Linked DNA regions of Sus scrofa. The protein of the gene in region 3 purifies or fractionates together with the protein of the main gene of each other region. This does not show direct contact. Links are inferred from orthologs where the notes say so. Each region holds a gene or a part of one and is shown on either strand. Other genes may lie near its edges. The genes, in order: NCBP3, SRRM1, SRSF3 and LARP1.

Region 1 (5,924 bases), on a different chromosome or scaffold from region 3:
TTGTCAACACCATTTGTTTAATCTTTCTTAGCCTAATAGGCCTGTTATGAATTGTCATTTGTTTAATGCTATTGTTTTGTGATAAAAATCAATGTAGTTTACCTTGCTGTCAAGTCTCATTTTCTTTTGAAATAACTGTCGTCTCTTTCAGCCTAAGCTTTTAAAATACCCGTTACCTGAACGGTTCTAAAGGGGTGCTGGTGGGAGGGATGTGCAGCAGCAGGTGAGAAAATTCCATCATCTTTTCTGCGTCTGGTTTTTCTAGCAATCCCCAAAGTGAGACTGGAGACCATCTACATTTGTGGCGTAGATGAGATGAGTACCCAGGACATCTTCTCCTATTTTAAAGAATATCCTCCAGCTCACATTGAGTGGTTGGATGACACCTCCTGTAAGTACACCCAGGTGTTCTGTTGAGTATGCCTTTGTTTACGGTTTTAAAAGACTTCTTGCCATCCCAGATGGTGAATGATTGTAGCCAGACTATGTCTAACCTCTGCGCTTAGCCTAGGAGAGAAAAAAAACTGCCCATTGATGAGAACCAGAGTGCATTAACCAGTCTGGCTAGGTTACACACCATGAGTGTTCTAAGTCAGCTCAGAGGTGGTGATCAGGGCTGGAGGATTGGTTGCTGGCGTCTGAGTGGGTTTCCCAATAAAGAGGTGGGTCCAACTGCATAGACGTGGGGCTCCATTTTCAGGGCTTTGGACTTTGTCATTGCAGTTGCCATACAGCTCTCTAGAGGGCTGTCTCTGACCTTGAGCTCAACCAGAACCCTCTTGACACTGTGCCAGACCTTTCACCTCTGCTTGCTTGTTGTATTTGTTTGTTTGTTTTAAGGACTGCACCCGTGGCATGTGGAAGTTCCCAGGCTAGGGTTGAGTCCGAGCTGCAGCCGCTGGCCTTTGCCACAGCCACAGCAATGCCAGATCCTTATAACCCAGATCGAACCTGCATCCTCATGGATACTAGTCACATTCTTAACCCACTGAGCCACAGCGGGAACTCTACCTCTGCTTGCTTTGAATCATGTTTTCTGGCACTTCATCTGCTTTGCCTTAATCTGTGAGCTGTTCCACTTGTGAGCTAACTGTACTTTTTAACTTGCTTCCCACTCCAAGTCTGGCTTGACCTCTGGTAACCAAACTGCTGGCTTCTTATCTTTTTTTTTTTTTTTCTACACCCATGGCATACAAAAATTCCTGGGCCAGGGTCTGAACCCGAGCCACAGCAGTGACAACACGGAGTCCCTAACTGCTGGGCCACCAGGAAACTCTGCCACTGGCTTCTTGTCTTAATTCACTTCTAGTCTGGCTTTAATTACTGCCAGCTTGCTGACCTGGTTTTCCTGGCTGCTTTCTTTAGATGTTATTTCAGTGTTTTCACTGAAAGAAGAAGAAATATGACTAAGTAAAAGGTTTTTCTCCTTTTTTTTTTTTTTTCGGTTCTAACTTAGACCGTCCAAAGCAGGGGTTGGAAAACCTTTTTTGTAAGGGCTGGATAATATTTTAGGCCTTGCAGGCCATACAGGCTCTATGGAGTGTACCCAGCTCTGCTATTATAGCATGATAGCAGCCATAGGCAGTATAATTGAATGAACCTGGCTGTTTTCTATACAAACATGTGGTGGGTGTGTAGTTTTTTGTACATTAATTATAACTAAATAAAGCTGTAAATAAAACATGTAAATAGCTGGGTGGTGGATGAATGAATGAATGAATAAACAGGTGGTGGGCTGCATTTGCTAACCCCTGATTTAACAGAACTATAACTAAGGAATGTTTGAGTCAGAGGGACCCTTAGAATCATCCAGTTCAGCTACCTCCTGCTGTACATCAGAAACTGCGAAACAGAGGGAAGTTATTTGCTTAAGACCATGTGGCATATTATTCACAAGAATGAGAATCCTTAGACCTTCATTTCCCAAACTGAGACAGGGATAACAGAGACATCAGTTTGAGAAATACTGCTTTAGAGTTAAACTTCTCAAAACCTTTTCCTTGATAAATTCACTTAAAGAAGCAAATTAAATTGGTTGCTGCAAAGCCAAGTGGCTGTCACACCTCCATGGTGTGTATGCCAATGGTGCCATTGTCACTTGACAGTAGGGGGACATCATTTACTATGTCTGGATGACAAGTAGCAGCAGAGGGCTTCCATGTGGGGGCAGAAGAATAAAGGATAATCCAAATTTATTTGACAGCATCATCGTCATCATTAAGGACGGCGAACATTATGTGTGACACTCCCTCTTCTGCCAGGCAGTCTTAATATACAGAACCCTTGTCCATGGAAGTCTAGACCTTTCTGTTGAGTCCAGTGTGTGAAGGCAACGCTAGGCTAATTTTATCAAAGCTTTTACTGCCATGTTCTGTGCTTCCTCTTATGAGTTGATTTTATATTTACTGATGCCACTTTGAGGCTACTGGAGACCATAGCAGTGAACATGATGTAGTCTCTGTTCTTAAGAAACTCCTTGTTTGGATGGGATGTAACGTGTTATTTTACATCTTATTTTAGGTAATGTCGTTTGGTTGGATGAAATGACGGCCGCAAGAGCCCTTATCAATATGAGTTCTCTGCCGGCCCTGGATAAGATAAGAAGCAGGGATGCCAGTGAGGACAAGTCATCTGAGAAAAGTAAAAAAGGTGACTGGCCACAAAGGAGGGACTTTGGGGCTGAAAGTCCTATTCTTTTTTTTGTTTGTTTGTTTTTTGTTTTGTCTTTTTGCTATTCCTTGGGCCGCTCCCGCGGCATATGGAGGTTCCCAGGCTAGGGGTCGAATCGGAGCTGTAGCCACCGGCCTACGCCAGAGCCACAGCAACTAGGGACCCGAGCCACGTCTGCAACCTATACCACAGCTCACGGCAACGCCGCATTGTTAACCCACTGAGCAAGGGCAGGGACCAAACCTGCAACCTCATGGTTCCTAGTCGGATTCGTTAACCACTGCGCCACGACGGGAACTCCTGAAAGTCCTATTCTTTACAGGTTGAATTTCTGTGCAAAGTGTCACCTAGCATCTCATGGCCAGTTTTTTCTGAAGTCAACTATGATGCTTTGGATCATTCATAAAGAGGAGGAGAAAATAGTAGACTTTTAACATACACGAGATAGAGTTATGTTAAGGTTCATCTTGTCCCTCGCGTTCCATTTTATTTTTGAAATTTTTTAATTTTGTTAAGGTTTTTATTTATCGTATTCGACTGACAATGTTGTGTCTGTTTCCGCTGCCCGGCCTTCCGTTTAGACAAGCAGGAAGACAGTTCAGACGATGACGAGGCTGAAGAAGGAGAAGTTGAGGATGAGAACTCCAGTGATGCAGAGGTCAGTAAGGGGGTGAAGGTGTCCAGAGCTTTCGCTGTAGACAGCTGCTTCCTGTCTTGCTGGTGAGCCTTAACGACGTGCTGCCACGTGTTCTTCCTCTGGCTTTCACCTCAGACCTCCTGAGGGGGCACCAGGCTCTTGGCCTTTCAGTTCGTGTGGCTGTAGTGAGCGATTGATCTTGATGTCTTAGACGAGTACTCCACTGCTCTATTAAAGGAAATGATTGTCTTGAGAAATAGCTTGAAGTGGGGTTTTGGTTTTTGTTTTTTTCTTTTTAGGGCCGCCCTCGTGGCGTATGGAAGTTCCCAGGCCAGGGGTCGAATCGGAGCTGCCAGCTGCCAGCCTACAACCACAGCCACACACGATCTGAGCCGTGTCTGTTGGATCCTTAACCCACTGAGTGAGGCCAGGCATCGACCTGCACCCTCGTGGACCCTAGTCGGGTTCATCACTGCCGAGCCACCACAGGAACTCCTGAAGTGTTATTCAATCAGTAACATTAAGGAAGAGCGAGTAATGGGATATTTCTTAATGGAGTATGTACTGTTGTTGGAAATGTTAAAGTGTATTCATTTAAAAATTATTTATTGAGTGCCTACTATATACCAAATTCTAGGTGCTGGGGATATAGCGTCAAGCAAACAAAGTCCCTGCCCTGTCGGAGCCTACATTCTAGTGGGGAAGACAGACAGTACACAGATACGCAGATATGTAATGTAATGTCAGGAAGGATGAGTGCTGTGAAGAAAAGTAAAGAAGGGTAAGCGGCTAGAGGACGATGGAGACGACTCTCTTAGACAGGTGGTCGAGGAAGCCCTCTGACTTAGACATCCTGCAGCCGAACTGGCGCTCTCTTGCTGATGGGTGCTTTTAAAGACAGACTGCTTTCTTAACCACTGGTACCTTTGCTACTGAGTAAATTTGAATAAGCCTTTAATTTTTGTATTGAAAATGCTCTTTTTCCTTAAGTTGGACACATTGTCTCAGGTAGAAGAAGAGTCTCTGCTAAGGAATGATCTTCGCCCAGCTAACAAACTTGCTAAAGGAAATCGGTTATTCATGAGATTTGCGACGAAAGGTAAATGTGATAACTGGTAGTGATTTTTATTTTTAACCAAATGATTTTTATCAAGTGACACCTTCTCTCTCTTTTGAATCGAAAGTTCAATCAAGTGGTCTCAAAGGTCCTTCAGACTGTAATCTTTCTGTGCTCGTAAAATTGTTGGCTTGCTGCACGAGTTGGCATTTCAGACATTGAAAGTGAATATTAGTCATTTGTGTACTTTAGTTATTTCTGGCTAAGGTAGATTATTTTCTATTAAAGCCAGTATGCCCCCCTCTGCTTTTCAGCCAATTTATCATCTGAACTATGAAAAAATTTTTAAATTATATTTTATGTATCATAGCAATATCTTCTTGGACATTGCTACTAGTGCCATTCAACTCTAATTCTCTAAGGAATTAAAAACCTCTTAACAATTCATAAGGCTTTTTATGCACAGTGATTTGGTGTACATTTATAGTGTGTGTGTTTTGAATCAATTGAGAGTTAATTGGAGATGACAGCCCTTCACCCCTGAATATTTCAATATACATTTCTGAAGAACAAAGACTTTGTCTCACACACAGTTGTCAAAATGAGAAAAAAAATTTTTGGTGCTTTTTAGGGCCACACCTGCTGCATATGGAGGTTCCCAGGCTAGGGATCCAGTCAGAGCTATAGCTGCTGGCCTGTGGCACAGCAGTGCCCATCTGAGATGTATCTGCAACCTACACCATAACTTGAGGCAATGCCTGATCCTTAACCCATTGAGCGAGGCCAGGGATCAGACCTCCATCCTCATGGATACTAGTCAGATTTGCTACCGCTGAGCCACAGAGGAAACTCCAAAATCAGGAAACTTAACATTAATACACTACTGTTACGTGATCTGTAGTCCACATTCATATTTTACCACTTCCTGTAATTCCCCACCTCTGAATATGAAAACTGCCTGGCATGTAGTGAGTGCTACGTAAGTGATAGCAGTTCTTGACGATGGTGATGATGGTGAATACATTTGGATTATTCCTGTTTTATTTTTACAGCCACACCTGTGGCATATGGAAGTTCCTGGGCCAGGGGTCGAATCTGAAAGCATCTGGGACTTAGACCACAGCTGCGGGAGCACTGGATCCAAGCCACATCTGCAACCTATGGTGCAGCTTGTGGCAACACCAGATCCTTAACCCACTGAGCAAGACCAGGGATCAAACCCATACCCTCACAAAGATAACATCAGGTCCTTAAACTGCTGAGCCACAACAGGAACTCTTGCACTATTCTTTACACTGCTCCCCACTGTACTAAGATCTACTCCAGGACTGACGGGGTATGAAGTCCGCCATGTCTCCTTAGCCTCCCTGAATGTGGAACCGCTCTAAGGAATTAAAAGCCTCTTAACAATTCATAAGGCTTTTGTTTGGTACTCTGTTTTGTTTTCCTTGACTGAGACATTTTTCGAAGAGGGTAGGCTCATTATTTTATAGGCTGCCCTTTAGTTTCAGTTTGTCTGATGTCTCCTCCTGATAATTATCGTGTTGTGCATCTTAGGCA
Region 2 (5,924 bases), on a different chromosome or scaffold from region 3:
CAAGGTTAACACAGATAACAAGTATCAATAAGATAGTGAATTTGTTTTTAATTTTCCAAATCTGGATTAGTGTTGCTTAGCATTGCACAAGTAACAGCACTACAACCTCAAATGAGGATGATCTTTATAAGACATTGCTTAATACCACTCATGACTTCTTTTTTCCCAGGATGACACTAATTCAAAGATTAGCCTAAAACAAATATATGGTCACTTCCAAAACAAAAAACCACCTCTCACCGTCTCACTGGAGATCTACTCCTTCTATGCCTTGGTGGAGGAGGCATTCGTCTCGGTGGAGTTCTTCTTCGAGGAGATGGCCGTCTTCTTGGGCTTGGCCGCCTTCTAGGGGAGTATGATCTACCATAACAAACAGAATTAGAATCTGAATAAATCTTGAGCAAGAACAAACACCTTGACATAGTTTTCTTGACAACTACATCCAAAAAACGGTTTTCAAGGGATATGAGTGTGTAGATTTTTACAGACCATACAAAGTGCCCTCAAATTCTCTCTAAATTCAAAGTTTAACATTTGTGCAAAATTTTTCTACTGCTTTGAAATAATTTACCCAATTCTATCTAGGAGAGTTAGCACATAAAATTTAAGATCTAGGCAGATATTACAGCCATTACCCACCTTGATCGGGATCTATGGCGCCTTCTAGGTCGAGTATGAGAAGGAGAGCGAGAACGTGTCCGGGATCTTGACTTGGAACGTGACCGAGATCTTGGTCTGGTCTTCTCCTTTTCCTTTTCCTTTTTGGAATTCTTCTCTGGAGAAGGTTCTTTAGGCTCTGGTACAGGTTCAGGCTTGGGAACTTTCAGGATGTCACTGTGGGGGGAAAAAAAGCTTACTTTCCCCCTCTTCTCAGAATCCCAAGTCATAATACAATGATACAAAAAGTTTATCTTTCTTTGGTTTTCAAAATTCATGAAGATGTCTAGAAAGATATATACACATCAGTAAAATTCAGTGAACAACCAACAATTCTAACCACATCCATTTCTTAAAACTGCAAAGTTGTCCATAATATTGGGACGGGGGCAGGTTACAGTATATAATATTGGAAATTAAAAAAACAGCAGATAGCAGTGGTCATCTTGGGGGCATTTTACTTATACTCTCCTATACAATTTAAATTTCTCAACAATCTAACTTTGTAATTTAAATAACCTAAAAAGAAAATTAGTAAGCTTACATTTCTAACTCAGAGGTACACCTATTTACACTCACCGAATAACAGCCTAAAACTGCAGACATTTATTATGTACTTGCCTAGTAGAAGTGGCCTCTTGTACTGAAGGTTCTTTCACTTTCACTGATGGCTCTGGGAGCTCCGGAGTTTTTTCCTTCTTCTCTGGAGCAGGGGAAGGACTCCGGCTCTTGGTTCTGTGACGGGGAGATCGAGAATGACTGCGCTTTCTCTCTCTCCTGACAGGGGAAGATCGTCTTCTAGGGGAAGGAGATCTGGATTTGCGTCTAGGATGAAAGCAATTTTTTTCAGGTTTTTTGAATAATGTGGACTGGGGAAGAGGGTCAAAAGAAGTGAGATTAATCTTTTTAATTACACTACTGTTGTTTATATCTGAGAAGTTCCCTATGGAAATAAGATATCCTATCACATTTACTTAAGAGGAAAAAGGCCAAGAGAAAACCAGAAAAACAAGCAAATGAAGATTATAATATTCTCCGAAATATACCAGTTACAACATACTAAGGATTCTAGATTTAGGTTCTTAATCACTTCCAGAAATGAAGAAAGCAAAGAGCAACTTTTCAGAGGAAGAGGGTGCTTAAAAGGAAGGAAATATAATGAAATTAAACCCAACAAAACAGAAATTGGATGCAGACAGATCCCATCAGAGTTCATCAGGTAGAGTCCAAGTATTCTAGGATAACATCTGCTGCAACTAAAGCAATATGTTCTTCCGAAAAGAAGCATTTCAAACTTGGCTAAGACAGCTTTTTTGAAAGAGAAGCCTTTCCATTTCAACAGTAGTTTCCCTAACCTGAAGTAAAACAGCAGACCTGATCCATCAATAGTCAAATAGTTACCATGATTTGTGCGTAACTCTAGGAATAATACTGCTTCTCTGATAAGCAGCTTTTTTTTGGGGGGGGGGTTCTTCTCAGGGCCGTACCCTCAGCATATGGAAGTTCCTTGGCTAGGGGTGGGAATCAGAGTTACAGCTGCTGGCCTTATACCACAGCCACAATAATACCAGATCCAAACCTCATCTGTGACCTACACCACAGCTCACGGCAACGCCAGATCCTTTAACCCACTGAGCGAAGCCAGGGATCGAACCTGCATCCTCATGGATACTAGTCGGGTTCATTACCGCAGAGCCACTGAGAAGGACTCCTGATAAGCAGCTTTTAATATCAAATCTATAAATGAAGGGGACGAAGAAAAATTACTTTCTCCCTTTACTAATTCTGGCAGATTTATGAAGAAATTAAAATTAGCAGAACTCTAAAAATGAAATGTCTAATGGAATTCTCACCCTTCATCACAACTACAGAAGCCAAATCATGGATTTTATTTATTTACTTACTTATTCTACTTATTGGCCATGCCCTCAGCATGTGCAAGTTCCCAGGCCAGAGATCAAACCTGCACCATAGCAGCAACCCCAGCCACTGCAGTGACAATGCTGGATCCGCAACCCACTACACCACAACTCTTGAATCATGGATTTTATAATGGGAAACTTGGGAGTTCCCTTGTGACCTAGGAGTTAAAGATCCCCCCTTGTCACTGCTGTGGAGCAGGTCTGGTCCCTGGCCCAGGAACTTCCACATACAGTGCAGACAAAAAAAAAAAAGGTGGGGGGGCTAACCAGTCTCAGTGGAAGGAAGAAAGCAAATGACCTGTTTTGGGTTCAGAACAATCACCTAAGAAAAGCAAAACAAGAGTTCCCTTCTTGGCTCAGCGGTTAATGAATGCAACTAGGATCCATGAGGATGCAGGTTCAATCCCTGGCCTAGCTCAGTGGGCTAAGGATCCTGCTGTGAGCTGTGGTGTAGGGTGCAGATGCAGCTCAGCTCTGGCGTTGCTGTGGCTGTGGCATAGGCCAGCAGCTGTAGTTCTGATTGGACTCCCAGCCTGGGAACGTCCATATGCCACAGGTGCAGCCCAAAAAGCAAAAAAAAAGAAAAGAAAAGAAAACAGAATCAGGTAAGTATAATATAAAGAACTAATGGGCATAGATTTCTAATTTAAAAATGGAGAAGAAAGAACTGGAATACATTAAATAACTCTGCAGTAGAGATTGGCACAACACTGTAAATCAACTGAACTTTAAATACAAAAGAGAACAAGACATAAAGAGTAATAAAACTTTGAATCAATGGAAAAAATAATAACTCAAAATAATTTAAAGTAAAGCAATATGAATGAGAAGTCTACATTCTGATTTAAGAATTAAGGGTTGACTGATTCACCAAGATTTAAGAGATAATTATTACAGTCAAATGATGATCTGTCTCAAAAGATGAAGTATTTTGGCCCAGAGGCAAGCAATAGCTCACCATGAAAATTGTATGATAGAAGAAATTTCCTGAACAGTGCTATTAGCTCCTTTTTTAATTATTTTTTTGTCTTTTTGCCTTTTCTAGGGCCACTCCTGCAGCACATGGAGGTTCCCGGGGTTGGGGGTCTAATCGGAGCTGTAGCCGCCAGCCCACGCCAGAGCCACAGCAACTTGGGATACGAGCCTCGTCTGCAACCTACACCACAGCTCACGGCAACGCCGGATCCTTAACCCACAGAGCAAGGCCAGGGATCGAACCCGCAACCTCATGGTTAGATGCGTTAACCACTGAGCCACAACGGGAACTCCAGCTCCTTTTTTTTTTTTTGTCTTTTGTCTTTTGTCTTGTTGTTGTTGTTGCTATTTCTTGGGCCACTCCCGCGGCATATGGAGGTTCCCAGGCTAGGGGTCCAATCGGAGCTGTAACCACCGGCCTACGCCAGAGCCACAGCAACTCGGGATCTGAGCCGCGTCTGCAACCTACACCACAGCTCACAGCAACGCCGGATCGTTAACCCACTGAGCAAGGGCAGGGACCGAACCCGCAACCTCATGGTTCCTAGTCGGATTCGTTAACCACTGCGCCACGACGGGAACTCCTCCAGCTCCTTTTTTAGCTGTGTAACTTTCTGCATAGAGAATACTCTAACATACTCATAAAATATTAGGTATGTATGCAGATTGTCCTGTACCTTCTTGGGCTTCGAGATCTCTCCCTTTTTTCTCTGCTGCTCTCTTTTTCTTCTTTATCCCTCTTATCCTTGTCTTCATCTTGCTTTTTCATAGATGCTAACTTTTCTTGTTCAATCTGTAAAGATCAGATTTTCAAAGTAAAACACAATCGAACATTTACAATCAACAAGCAAACGGAAAACTGACTGCACATTGGATAAACACCAATACTATTTGTCGTTTCATCAGCCTCTGCTTTCAACAAGACCGTTCTTTCTTCATCCCCGCTAAAGGTAAACTTTAGAACTAGTAATGAATAATTCAAATACTTGCTGAAAATTAATACTGAATGGCTTAACTAAAGAAAATGGCTGTTTTCGGAGTTCCCATCGTGGTGCAATGGAAACGATGAGGAACCATGAGGTTGTGGAGTTCGATCCTTGGCTTCGCTCAGTGGGTTAAGGATCCGGTGTTGCCATAAACTGTGGTGTAGGTCGCAGACATAGCTCGGATCCTGCACTGCTGTGGCTGTGGAATAGGCTGGCAGCTACAGCTCTGATTGGACCCGGAGCCTGGGAACCTCCATATGCCGCAAGTGCAACCCTAGTAAGTTTTTTTCTTTTTTGTATTTTCTAGGGTCACATCTGCAGCATATGGAGGTTCCTAGACTAGGCGTCTAATCTGAGCTGTAGCCTCTGATCCCTCTGAGGCCAGGGATCGAATCCGCAACCTCATGGTTCCTAGTTGGATTCATTTCAGATGCGCCATGATGGGAACTCCTTTTCTTTGTTTGTTTGGTTTTTTTTTTTTTTTTTTTGATTCCTAGTAAGACACACACACACACACACAAAAGAAAAGGCTATTAAGCCTAGCCAGGACATGTAAAATTTTAAACATCTTAACAGTCTGGATACTGCTCTCTCAAATAAAACATTACAAAAAGGAAAAGGCTATTACCTGTCTCTGTTTTATTTCTTCTTTCTTCAGTTCTAGGAAAGCAGAAGGGATTCCAGCGATGTTTTCCTGTGCACTTAAGAGCAGGGGCCACAGTTCTCCCATAAATTCTCTAGCATTTTTTCCATTCAAAAACCCAGTCAGGTTGATTTGCATCATTTTGGAATCTGGATTCTGCAAAAAGACATGACAGGAAGAGAAACAGGTTACTCCAAAACAAACCAATCAATCAACCTAAAGCTCATTTCAATTAGTATTTTTTAAGTCTATCATAGGGGCTTAGAGATATATATATATATATTCTTTACTATTTTAAAAATAGCTTTTTCTAGTAGTTTCTCAGCAATATAATCACTAGCACAGATTACCAAATTCTCTCTCACTCTACCAAAAGCTATCAGAGCAGCCTGTTAATCCTTTGTGGATTTCATAAGTATTTTTAGACTATGTGGCTGTTAGTGGGCCTTACATTTATTAACTTTAAAAACCATCATGGAATATCCACAAATTCTTGTGTCTGCTAACAAGTGTTTGCCTGTCTGGAAATTTTCCCTCAATGAGAAATGGAAAAGTACACAAACTGTTCACTTTTCTAACACTGTAGATAACTTTCTACAAAATATCTACTGTCCAGTTATCAAAACTAACAAGTTATGCATGCACTCTTTAACTTTTGAAGACTAAGCTGAAAGCCTGACTTCTATATAAGGATAACCTATTATAACAATGCTTCAAATTCTCAACTGTCCACAAAGGGCT
Region 3 (6,490 bases):
CAGACAATACTGCCTGGTCCAAGAAAGATGCCATTTTTAATTATAAAAAAACTGAATTCTCTCCTATTTGGGTTTGAAGAACAGATGACTGGGATTACTTTAGCCCCCTTTATTGGTCAGTGACTTAAGTTAGTTTCAGAATGACTTCTACTTTACCAGTTGCAACATTAAAACAGCTGCCTGTTTGATAAATATTACAATAGTAGAAAACACATTTTGGTGAAGAGCTAGAATTGAATGTAATGTTTGTCATTATGGAGTCAAGAAATGGAAAAAGGCCTAAATTGAAGTATAAGGGAAGACTTGGAAAGATGCAACTAGAAGATGAACTAGAAGATAGATCCAAGATAGAAGTTACTGACTACCAACATGAACAGTGACCTAAGACAAAAGCCAACACTCAGCACAACTCACATACCCCAAGCTACGCCCAGCAAATGTTTCATAAAAACCTCTGATTCTTCAAAGTTTAAAACCCACCAACAAACTTTAAGAGAATACCTGTTCCTATCAGCTACTCCATTACACCAATACCTCTAAACACGCTCTCTCTAAGTACCTGCGGCGAGGTGGAGGACTCCTTCTCCGATAATCATCTCGAGGGCGACGACCCCAAGAAGGAGGTGGGCCACGATTTCTACTTCTCTTTTCACCATTAGAGAGTTCCACTCTTACTCGGCAGCCACACAGCGTTCTAAGAGGGAAGAAACATTAAATTTAAAGCAGCCGGATTGATTAAAAGATACACATTAAAGCGGGAAAAAAACCCCAACATTCATTTATAGCTAGTTTCTGTGTAAGAAACATCTGAATGCTCATAGAATTCTTAACACCAAAACAAGGTTTAGTTTCTATATTTTTTTCTGGTAAAAAACACCTTCCTTACATTTTATTGCTTTGTTAGTCAGTGTGATCATTGGGTTCAATGATCACAGTGACAATATTAAGTGTGAAAATCCCTGGATCCATTCTCAAAGAATTAGTTCATCTGTACATGCTGGTGTGACTACTTCCTTTGAGGTCCCAGCAATTGTTTACCAACCTTACTATATTTGTTGGTCTCCTTTCTCTTCATACCTCCAAGTAAAGAGCAGTAAACAGGACAGAAGCATTCTGGCCATTTATTTAATACAACCCTCTCCACTCAATCATCACACAATAGTTGACAAGAAATTGCAAGTGAGAACAGTAAGAAAGTTATCTCCCACCTCTTCATTGGTCCACAACCATTAAGTTTAGATAAGCCACATTTGGACAGACACTGGGAAGAGGTGGGGCTCTCAACCAGTTTCTGCAATTTGCTTAGTTAAGTGACCTTTCATATAGCTTTACAGCCAACTCTCAGATCCTTTCAGTTTTCCATCTTAAGGATCAAAGTTTTCCTTGATTTCATGAAATCCAGTGGTTTGCAAATGCCAGGATAAAGGGCAACACTAGTTCACTTTAAGACTCAGGTGTTATTTGAGTTCCCCGGTGGCTCAGCAAGTTAAAAATGCAGCACTGGAGACAGTTTGGGGGGGTTGGGGGATGGAAATCCTATAAAATTGGATTGTGATGATCATCGTACAACTAAAAATGTAATAAGTTCACTGAGTAATAGAAAAAAAAAAATAGAATGCAGCACTGTCACATTTGATCCCAGAACCTGGGAACATCCACAAGCCACTAGCACAGAAAAAACAAACAAAAAAAACCAAAAAACAAAACAAAACACCCAACTAACCTCAGGTGTTACTTAGCCAGTCAACAAGACACTAAAAGCATAGGGAAATAACACCCACACTTCCTAAAAAAAAGTGTTATCATGTAAAGATAATGGTACAATAAACCCATGTAACCATCATCCAGCTACAATCAATCAGGATGTGACCATAAGGGAATGTCTGATTCCACAATTTTAGATTTCAAAGTTTACAACATGACTATTTATAGTGGATTTAGATTAAAATATTTCAGTCATATTTTGGATGCTGCTCTCCACCCGCCAACTGCAAATAAAATTCTTTTCTTCAATGGCAAACTGAATAAACTCTCCCTACGTATCGTCACTAAAACCGTTGTCCTTTTTTGGCCAGAAAAAAAAAAATTTATGTAAATCTCCACAAAGCCATCTAAAAACCTCTTATCCTAGAGATTTTAAATATTAAAAGGACAAACAACATATTATTAGCAAAAATTAACAAATTACCTCCCATCTAGCTCTCGGACAGCATCAGCTGCATCTCGGGGATCTTCAAATTCAACAAAAGCAAAGCCAGGAGGATTTCTAGCAACCCATACACTTCGGAGTGGTCCATAATAGCCAAAAGCTCGTTCCAATTCAGTCTTGTTACCATTGTTTCCCAGATTACCTACATAAACTTTACAGTCCAATGGACAGGAATCACGATGCATTTCTGTAACAAAAAAAAAAAAAAAAATCCAAAATATCATAACCCACACAGTAAAAAACAGATCCTTAGGAAAGAATTCAAAAACCGAAAAAAGGTAAAGGCACTACCCTTGAAACACCCCAATCGTTGCCAATAACCACCTGGAAGCCAAGCTGTGTAAGAAAATAAAAAAAAAAATCACCTCCCAGAGAAGTGGAGGGAGGAAACAGTAGGGGAGCATATGCCACAAAATGGGAACTGAGAGACTTAAACCTATTTCAGTTATCTGAAGGGGGGGGAGGAACAACTTTGAAAAGTAGGATTAAAAGCAAAACCTGGAGACTACAAAACAAAATGACAAGTGAAGACAAGACAGCAGTTAAGGCTAAACCACTAAAAAAGTGATAGTAATGTGCCTTCACAAGCCAAAACTTTACTCAAGCAGGACAAACTTGTTTTTTAAAAATATATATCTTGTTCTACCCTCAACAGCCGAAAGGTGTTAACCCAAATGTCCAGCAACAAAATGGAGAAGCAAAATTATTACCCATACAATGGAGTATTCAGGAACGAGTACCCATAAACATGGACAAAACGTGAAAGCATGCTAAGTTATAGATATCAGACAAAAAAAATACACGTAATACCATCCCATGTATGTGAAATATCCGAAACGGGTAAATCCAGAGACAGATTAGTAGCTACCAGGGGCTGCGGGAGAGAAAGGGGCAGGCCAAAAGGGTAGTGGCTGCTTAACAGTACAGGTCACCTTAGTGGGTATAATAAAATGCTTTAAAACTAGATAGAGGTGATAGTTACACAACATTGTGAAGGTATCGAATGCTTCTGAATCGTGCACTTTAAAATGAATGTTACATTAACTCCACCTCATGGGGAAAAAAATAGATTATTTGTTGTGCAAGAACTTAAGGCACTTTAGTTTACATTTGAAAAACCTTCAATACTAATAAAGCCGCCTCAGCAACGAATCTAATCAACTTGTAGATTACATACGAAAAGCAGCCTGTCCAAAAACTCAGCTTAAGGGCTTTTCATAAACACGTTATCCAATTAAAAAAAAAAAAAATACCCGCCCAGACACATCCTATTTGTGTGACCCCGCCCTGTGCCCAGAAGTTCCGAGACCAAACCCATTGTTGGTGAATTAATCTTTCCCAAAAACTTTACCCTGACCAGTTTTAATGCGAAGCAGCTATAAGAACAATACAGCTCAAGAAAGATCAGCTTAAAAAAAAATAGTTATTGGATTCAGGCTGTAAAAAGTGAAGTTAAAGTAACACGAAAATGAAAGAAAGTAGAGAAATCCTCAAATATGGATCGAAGGGTCCAGTCTTGAGTAGTGACTTGAAGAAAAAAAATCCTAAGCCGCTACTTAAGGAAACGTGGGCAAAAAGAAAAAAAAGGCGCCATAAATTGAATGGCCGCGATCTAGAGTACAACCGATTACCGATACCCCCTTTGCCTCAACTCGAGCAATCTCACTTCCCGATTCAGCCCCCCAGGGAAGGGTTATAAGCACCTCCACTTGGAAGCCTGGGTGCCTGCTCCGGGGGGCCGGGAGCCCCCTCCACCGCCCCGTGTTGAACGTCACAAAATGGCGGCAGCGTCTCTTTGTCTCAATCTGGCGCCGCCATTGGGCCTGGCCCCACCTCGGTCCTGTTAAGGCCCATTTCCCACCTCATTCCTTTAGTCGCTGGGTCTCTTACCGAGATCTTAGATTAGAAATGCGAAGACTCAAATCCACGCACCCGCGGCTGTCTCTTCCCACTCCCCTCCCGCCTGGCTCCAGCAGATACTCTCCCCGATCCGGCGTCCACGAAATGGCGGACCAACACCGTCTCCTCGCCTGTATTTATAAGCCATCCTGGAGTCACATGATTGGACGGGTTCGCCCAATGAGAGGCGAAGAAGACCGTGACGTAATGGCCACAAACGCTGCGAGAACCGCGGTTGCTGAGAGCCTTCTCTGGTTGTGCTGCCTCGTCGGTGGAGACGCGCGCAGCCGTCGTGCCTCAGGGCCAGAGCTCCCTCGGTGTAATTCTCCTGTTGCCGAGTTCTCCTCAGTCACCTCTCCCTCATCTCCAAATAGCCTATTAATAGGGATTTAATAACATCATCGCCGGTCACACCCAAACACTGATAGAGCCTTTTGCACCCAATAAGATTACAGTATAAAATGAGTTCATTAATTACTGCTCCGCATGAGCGGTTAGGCAGGAACTGAGACCATCACGTTTACAAACGTGCTTCGGAGTTGCTCCCAAGGTCACGGGGCTGTTTGTGAACCCGCTGTCACCACACTGTGCCCCTCCGGGTCCCACACTTGGGGAAAAGCCCAGTCACGGAAAGTCGGCCCAACTCTGGCTGGTCTGCCACCTCTCACCCAAACTGCACGATTTGGCAGAGACGATGGCGTCATCATTTTGGACTCTTGAAATGTTTAATAGAAACTCAAAGGCAAATGAGACGGGTCAGGCCATCCAGAAAGTATCGCATTTAGTAACAGTATAAAAGGAAGTTCCTGAGGAGATTGAATTCGGCACCCCTCTCCTCCGCAACGAATACCAGTCTGTCTTCTGGCAAAGGCTGTTGTACTGACCGGGGCTCAGAGGTGGGGGGTCTATGGTTCACTAACACCTTCCTCTCTGCTTTCCACTTCCTCTGAAAAGAACTGAGCCACGAAATTAACTATTGGGAGAGAAATACCAATGGTTTGTTAGAAAAATCACCAAGATCTTCCTCTCTGGAACAGTGAGTTCAGCTAAGAGGGTTGCCTGGTTTCCTCCCCTTTCAGTGGAGTCTGACTTACTAACGTATCTAAATCTGCTCTCAAGAAAAATAATAACTTGTATTTTTCCACCAGTAGCTGAAAGATATGCCAAACATTCACTGCTTTCCTTTTCCCAGATATTCTCTTATTGTGGCTCTAAGAAGTTTATCTATCCATGTGGGGTGGAGACACGACTTACTGTTTCTGAGTTTTCACACCTGTAAAAAACGAGGATTTCATACTGGCAAGGGAAGAGGGAGAATGGAAACTACATTTGTTGAGCCAAGCCCTGAGCTGGTCTTACCTGGGTTTTTCCCAGGTAGGAATTCTAGCAAAGCTTTTCTCTTCCTCTTCTTTCCTTCTCTAAATGTTTTTCTATTCTGGCTTACTTCTATTTGCTTTGATTTGCTCCTCTCTTCCTGTGTAAGCTTTTCTCCTCTTTTTATTTCCTTCTATCAAAGCAAAGCCATTGAAGTCAGACAGTCCTATATTTGGACCCACAGTACTGCTGCTACTTACTGCTAAAGTGTCTGGAGAAATATCCCTTACCATCTCAATATTAGTTTCCTCTCTGTAAAATGGGTAACTACACCAAGCCTTGCAGGGTTGTTACATGCAGTCTCCCCACTTACAGGAACTTCAACTTTGTTTGTCTTTTTGTATTTTCTAGGGCTGCACTTGTGGCATAGGGAGGGTCCCAGGCTAGGGGTCTAATCAGAGCTGTAGGCTGCTGGCCTTCGCCAGAGCCACAGCAACATGGGATCCGAGCTGTGTTTGCCACCTACACCACAGCTCATGGCAACACTGGATCCTTAACCCACCGAGCAAGGCCAGGGATCAAACCTACAACCTCGTGGTTCCTAGTTGGATTCGTTAACCACTGAGCCACAGTGGGAACTCCAGGAACTTCACCTTTGGACTGTTGTTGCTCACTCCGCCTCCCCAGGGCCTGAAAACAAGTCTGGCAGAGAGCAGATGATCAATACATATTTGTTTAATTATCTAATTAATTAAAATAAATAATGCAGATAAATAAGCTGGCACAACCCTTGCTCGAAAATGCTCTTTTTAAATGTTCTTTTTTTTTTTTTTTTTTTTTTTTTTAAGGGCTGCACCTGTGGCACATTGACGTTCTCAGGCTAGGGGTTGAATCTGACCTGTAACTGCCAGCCTACACAACAGCCACAACAACTCCAGTCCGAACTGTATCTGCGACCTACACCACAGCTCATGGCAACACCCGATCCTTAACCCACTGAGTGAGGCCAGGGATCGAACCCTTGTCCTCATGGATAATAATCAGATTCGTTTCAGCTGAGCCACAATG
Region 4 (5,924 bases), on a different chromosome or scaffold from region 3:
TGCAAAAAGCTTTGTATAAACTCCAAACCTATTCTCCTTTAAGGTTCAAGATGGGAACCTTAGGTGGGAGTGAGGGGTCTGATTCTGGAATGGGGGCTAAGTGCGGCTCTTGCCTTTCCAAAGCCTTCGTGGTCTACAGGCCTGAACCTTGTAAGGTCCTTGTCCACTTAACTACCCTTCGCCTCATAATTCCAGACTAATCTCTAAGACTGTTTGAAGGATCGCAGCCAGAATAGACCAGCCAGTCAGGGTGCGAAGGCAGGAGGAGGAAGGAGATGAGGGAAGCGGTCATAGCGGTACAATGGAAAAGAGAGGACCCCAGACCCAAAGGCCTCCTCACAAGGCCCAGATCAAAGAGGTCTCCAAAGAAGGGATGCGAATGGGAAGGTGGATGGAGCAAAAGTCTGCTCCTAGGAAAGGGGCAGTAATCTTAGTTTGAGATTCAAAGAGCTCTCTAAAAGGAGACTAAATGTCAACTATTCATATATAGCTTCACTATTCCCAGAGCAGTCTAATCCCTCTTTTCTTTCATCTGAAGATGGAGAAAATGAAGCCCTGAGATATGATTATCCCTTTGTCTTCTTAGGGTTGCACCTGTGCCATACGGAAGTTGCCAGGTTAGGGGTCAAATTGGAGCTACAGCTGCTGGTCTACATCACAGCCACATGGGATCCAAGCCACGTTTGTGACCTACACCACAGTTCATGGCAACCCCGGATCCTTAACCCACTGAGCAAGGCCAGGGACTGAACCCATGTCCTCACGGACACTGGTCAGGTTCGTTGCTGCTGAGCCACGACAGGAACTCCTAAAGCCTTGAAATGTTAAAGAAACTTCCCAAGGTCACCACCAGCCAGCAGTGGCAGGAAACCTGTATTCTACTCTAGACTCAAATCTAGTCACACCATGTATCTGCTCCCTCTCCCTTCCCTCTTCAGAGGGTCTGAGGGGCTTATTTGCCGACACTAAGAACAAATACAGGGAGAAAGCAATCAAAACGTAGCCCCAGGGACTTAAATAGGGTAAAAGAACCAAGTATTCAGAACCACTCAGCACTTAATGAGACACGGCTGCCAGAAGCTACAAGATCTCCCTCTGTGAAAACCACCACCCAGGAACTCAGAGCTAAGACTGCCCTATGGGGTAGTCCCCACTGGAAATGCAAACTCACCGTATCAGCCTTCCTGAAGTCACTGGTGACCTCAGCTCGCATTACAACCCTGAGGCACCCAGCCTGCCTGTTAGCCCTTCAGAGCCCAGAGCTCTGTGCCTATGCGACACCCCCGCCCCCAAGCTCCAGGCCAGGGGACAGGCTTCGCTCACCTTCAGTCGTGCAGGGGAGGGCCGAGGTCTTTTCTTGACTTCAATCCAATTCTCAGAATCCAGGTCTGGAAGGCTGGCAGACAGGCCCTTGGGCAGTGTCTTTAGGTTGCTGACCTCCTCTGTTTTGGTTGGCACTGGGGTGACTGCACGGGGAGAGCCGGGCGCCGACTCTGAAGGGCGGAAAGGGGTGGTCCTCATCCCGCCAGTCCTCCTGAGGCCAGCCCTGAGGGACTGCTGGTGGAAGGATGAGGGCAACAGGGAGACATCCACATGCCAGCAGGTACCTACCTGTCTCCTTCTGGTAGTGCTGGCGTGGCACAAACTCTGGGCAATTGAGAAGCTGGGAGAAATCAGTCTGGGAATAATCCACTATTGGGGGACCAGGAAGAGGCCACTTCTCTGGCTCCTCCCTCCTGCGGACTTTCTCTTCAACGATCTCCACCACCTTGCTGTCCTTTAGTGCCTGCCGAGGAGGAGAGAGAGGATGCAGACGAAAGACATCGACAGACTGAGATCCTCTAAGGTGGTTGATGACTGGGCCCCCTGAGCTTAGGAGATGTAAGAAAAGCAGGAGTATGAGGCCAGTGCAGGAGTCTAAGAAAACTGGCACCCTTTCCCATGACAGTGAACAAGTGAGACGCTCAAACTTGTAGGAAGGTATGAACATGAAAAACACACCTGTCCTTTTACCCTGCCATTCTACTTCTAGGAACTGTCCCCAGAGAAATACTTGCACGACAGGTGACAACATGTATAAGATTTGGATAGAAAGCTATTCACAGCAACAATGTAAACAAAAAAAACTAAATTGGAGTTCCTGCTGCGGTTAAGAATCCTACTAGTATCCATGAGGATGTGTGTTTGATTCCTGGCATCGCTCAGTGTGTTAAGGATCTGGCGTTGCCTTGAGCTGCAGATGCAGCCTGGATTCCATGTTGCTGTGGCTGTGGTGTAGGTTGGCAGCTGCAGCTCCAACCGGACCCCTAGCCTGGGAACTTCCATATGCCACACATATAGCTCTCAAAAGCAAAAACAAACAAACAAACTCACCACCACTTAGATAATTTAAACCAATGACGGCACATCATTGAATGGAACACTACTCAAGCTTAAAAAAATCAGCTTCAGGAGTACCCGTTGTGGCAAAGCGGAAACAAATCCAACTAGCATCCATGAAGTCGAGGGTTCGATCCCTGGCATCGCTCAGTGGGTTAAGCATCTCATGTTGCTGTGAGCTGTGGTGTAGGCTGCAGATGCGGCTCGGATCCTGCATTGCTGTGGCTGTGGCAGAGACCGGCAGCTGCAGCTCTGATTGGATCCCTGGCCTGGGAACCTCCATATGCCACAGGTGTGGCCCTAAAAAGAAAAAAAAAAAAAAAAAAAAAAGAAAAAAAAAAAATCAGCTTCAAATGTGCTGAGGTGGTAAAGACCATGAAAAAGTAGGACTAGGTCAGTGAGTTTAAGATCCTATTGGTGTCTGGGAGTTCCTGTTGTGGCACAGCAGTAACAAATCTGACTAGGAACCATGAGGGTGCAGGTTAGATTCCTGGACTCGCTCAGTGGGTTAGGGATCCAGCATTGCTGTGAGCTGTGGTGTAGGTCGCAGAGGTGGCTCAAATCTGATATTGCTGTGGCTGTGGTGTAGGCCGACAGCAACAGCTCTGATTAGACCCCTAGCCTGGGAACCTCCATACGCCATGGGTGCGGCCCTAGAAAAAAGACAAAAACGAAAAACAAACAAAAACAACCCCCATTGGTGTTTGGATTTTTAAGTAAAAACATAGAAATGCACTCAAATTTTTCTAGGATTCACAGGTAAACTGCTATGTGTGTTATCTCTGGAAAGCAGGGTGAAAAAAAGGAGAGAGGAGAGTTTCCTTTTAAAAATCTGACAGCCAGGAAGAGGAAAACATTTCAACATGGAACAAACATACTGCAACGGGTGAGGCTGGAGAAAGAGGCACTCTTTCTGAGAAGAATGCAAAAGGCACACCTACGAGTAAGGGAATCAGGCAATAGCTGGCACAATTACATGCACTGACCCCTTAGTTGAGCCATTCTACTTCTAGAAATCTACACCAAAGTTAAACTAGCTAAATGAGATCCTGCTGTGTAGCACTGGAAACAATGTCTAGTCACTTATGATGGAGCATGACAATGGGAGAAAAAAGAATGTATCCATGTATGTGCAACTGGGTCACCATGCTGTACAGTAGAAAACTGACAGAACACTGTGAACCAGCTGTAATGGAAAAAATAAAAATCATTATAAATAAAAAAAAAACCAAATAAAATAAAATAAAAATCCAAAATACCCCTCCCCCCAAAAAAACACAAAGATAAACTAACTAGAACACAAAAAGATATATATACACCTGTAAACAGGAATAGATATATGTACACCTGTAAATAGGAATGAGGAATATCTTCCAGTTACTACTATTACTATGCTCTAAGCCCCAGATATGTTAGGTGAAAGCAAGAAAGAACAGGTAAAGAAATACTCGTGCCACATCACCGTTTATCAAAGAGAGGGGACACACAGAGGCATTTCCTTTTTTTTTAAATGGAAGGATTCAAAAGAAAGTTGCTTATGTGGAGAAATAAAAGGGAAAAGGTACAAGTGAGAGAATTTTAAATCAGAATTCTATGAACACACCATGTTGACTTTGGACCTATGTAAATGTTTTACATAAAGGTAAAACAAAATTAGGAATTAGCAGTAAGAAAGCAATCCCCATAATCTTGAGAGCAAAACAAAACTAATGAAACTAATACACATTATTAAGTTAAAGACACAACCACATAAAACATTTCAAATTATTTTAAATAACTTGAAAATACAGTCATTGACTGTATAAATTAGAAACCTTTTTATGAGCAGGAGACTATTTTTAAGTATAATGTGTATAAACCATAGAGTAAAAAAACAAACACATAGCTATGTAGATGCCGTTAAGAATTGGGATTTTTGCCATGGGAGAAAGCAGCAGTTACAAATAAAAAATCCTTGGGGTTAAGTAAAGACCCTATACCCCTTGCTTTTAATGGAAGATATCAGTATGATCTCATGTTGGATTTTATTAAAAAAAAAAAAAAAAAAAAAGCTCTAGAAACAGTGACCAATCAAGTAGCAATAAACACCTCTATAACTCAGACTGAGGTATCTAAATACCTTAAATACCATTTCCCCAAATAGAGGACCAAGAGTTCCTTGAAAAAAATAGCCAATTCTAGATCTGGGGCAGGAAATACAAACCAGGGTCCCACTGGCCAAAGAATGGGACAATTTGATTCGGCATAGTAACTGCAACAAATTGAAATAAACAAAATGTTTGAATCTACCAGTTTGTGATGATACTAAGTTAAACAAAAAAAGAGAACTCAAACCTCACTGATCACTTTTTTTGGGGGGGGTCTGCTTAGAGTCACACCTGTGGCATACGGAAGTTCCCAGGCTAGGGGTCATAAATTGGAGCTGTGGCCACCAGCCTACACCACAGCTCACAGCAACACTGAAGCCTTAACCCACTGAGCAGGACCAGAGAGCAAACCTGAGTCCTCATGGATACTAGTCAGGTTGATTACTGCTGAGTCACAATGGGAACTCCCTTCACTGATTACTTTTGAAAGTTATTAGGGATCTGCTCCTAATTCTGAAAACTGACTCCATAATAAAGGGAAAGATCAGGCACCTGTACGCCCTTCCTGAACAAACTATACACCTCTTGGAACCCAACACTTGATAAGGCAAAGCACCTCCTTAAAGAGGTATTCCGGCTAACAAGACAGACCGATACAATACAACCATTTATTTTCTGGTCTCTAATGAAATTAATAGGCAGTGATTGTCAATAGCAGCTTATATGGCAAAAGAGAGAATGAAGTGAAGCACTATGTGCCACCTGAGAATCTATCACCACCTAACAAGCATTCTTGACCAAGGAGAAGGGAAAAAACCCAAAAAGCTGGAATGTGATTGGGCTTCTCCACCACCAATCGACAGAAAACCAGGAGTACAGAAGAACATGTGAAAATTGTTACCCTGTGTCCTACAGAAAATTCTGAAATACATACAATTGAGCATATTCAAATAATAAACTCTGAGGGAAAGGAAGGAGAGGGATGGAGACTTAATAAAACAATAATATATTGGTCTTACCTGGATCCTGAGTCTCAGAAACTACTAACAGAATTTTTTTTTTTTACAAGTAGGATGCATTTGCAACTGACCAAATATGTGGTGATATATTTTTTTTTAACACATCTATATCTTTAGAGTTAGGTACTAAAACAAGGAAGGATAAAAGTGAGGTTACTGGAGATTTCCTTCAAAGTAATTTGGAAGAGAAAAGAGATGAGATATATGGAGTAAGACTGGCCATGAGCTGATAACTGCTGAGGCTGGATAAGCTCATGACACAATTCTGTCTACTTTTGTAAATTTTCCACATCCAAAATGTTCCCTAATATGGGGGGGAGGGGGCAGAAAGAGGAGGGAAGGAGGGAGAGGAAGAGAGAGAGGCTGGCCAAGCCCTAGACCCTTAGCATAATTAATAAGGTGGGGACTCCTCCAGGGGCTTGGCCCAAACTCTGGCTCC

The links.
Region 1: the proteins of SRSF3 (region 3) and NCBP3 purify together in Homo sapiens (co-immunoprecipitation; 3 studies listed by BioGRID and IntAct, with this or other methods). This does not show direct contact. The link is inferred for Sus scrofa from reciprocal best matches to the Homo sapiens genes SRSF3 and NCBP3.
Region 2: the proteins of SRSF3 (region 3) and SRRM1 purify together in Homo sapiens (affinity purification with mass spectrometry; 3 studies listed by BioGRID and IntAct, with this or other methods). This does not show direct contact. The link is inferred for Sus scrofa from reciprocal best matches to the Homo sapiens genes SRSF3 and SRRM1.
Region 4: the proteins of SRSF3 (region 3) and LARP1 purify together in Homo sapiens (co-immunoprecipitation; 3 studies listed by BioGRID and IntAct, with this or other methods). This does not show direct contact. The link is inferred for Sus scrofa from reciprocal best matches to the Homo sapiens genes SRSF3 and LARP1.

What each region holds. Positions count from the first base shown.
Region 1 is NC_010454.4:49,897,426-49,903,349, reverse strand, and holds part of NCBP3 (nuclear cap-binding protein subunit 3), read left to right. Parts: intron 1-265; coding exon 266-391; intron 392-2,520; coding exon 2,521-2,649; intron 2,650-3,251; coding exon 3,252-3,328; intron 3,329-4,297; coding exon 4,298-4,406; intron 4,407-5,924. UniProt on the Homo sapiens protein: Associates with NCBP1/CBP80 to form an alternative cap-binding complex (CBC) which plays a key role in mRNA export. NCBP3 serves as adapter protein linking the capped RNAs (m7GpppG-capped RNA) to NCBP1/CBP80.
Region 2 is NC_010448.4:82,314,244-82,320,167, reverse strand, and holds part of SRRM1 (serine/arginine repetitive matrix protein 1), read right to left. Parts: exon of another isoform or gene 5,340-5,924; coding exon 5,169-5,339; intron 4,348-5,168; coding exon 4,232-4,347; intron 1,483-4,231; coding exon 1,279-1,482; intron 835-1,278; coding exon 640-834; intron 361-639; coding exon 241-360; intron 1-240. UniProt on the Homo sapiens protein: Part of pre- and post-splicing multiprotein mRNP complexes. As a component of the minor spliceosome, involved in the splicing of U12-type introns in pre-mRNAs. Involved in numerous pre-mRNA processing events.
Region 3 is NC_010449.5:32,287,210-32,293,699, reverse strand, and holds the start of SRSF3 (serine/arginine-rich splicing factor 3), read right to left. Parts: upstream 4,237-6,490; 5' UTR 4,100-4,236; intron 2,397-4,099; 5' UTR 2,395-2,396; coding exon 2,189-2,394; intron 695-2,188; coding exon 560-694; intron 1-559. UniProt on the Homo sapiens protein: Splicing factor, which binds the consensus motif 5'-C[ACU][AU]C[ACU][AC]C-3' within pre-mRNA and promotes specific exons inclusion during alternative splicing.
Region 4 is NC_010458.4:68,405,260-68,411,183, forward strand, and holds part of LARP1 (la-related protein 1), read right to left. Parts: intron 1,787-5,924; coding exon 1,612-1,786; intron 1,494-1,611; coding exon 1,324-1,493; intron 1-1,323. UniProt on the Homo sapiens protein: RNA-binding protein that regulates the translation of specific target mRNA species downstream of the mTORC1 complex, in function of growth signals and nutrient availability.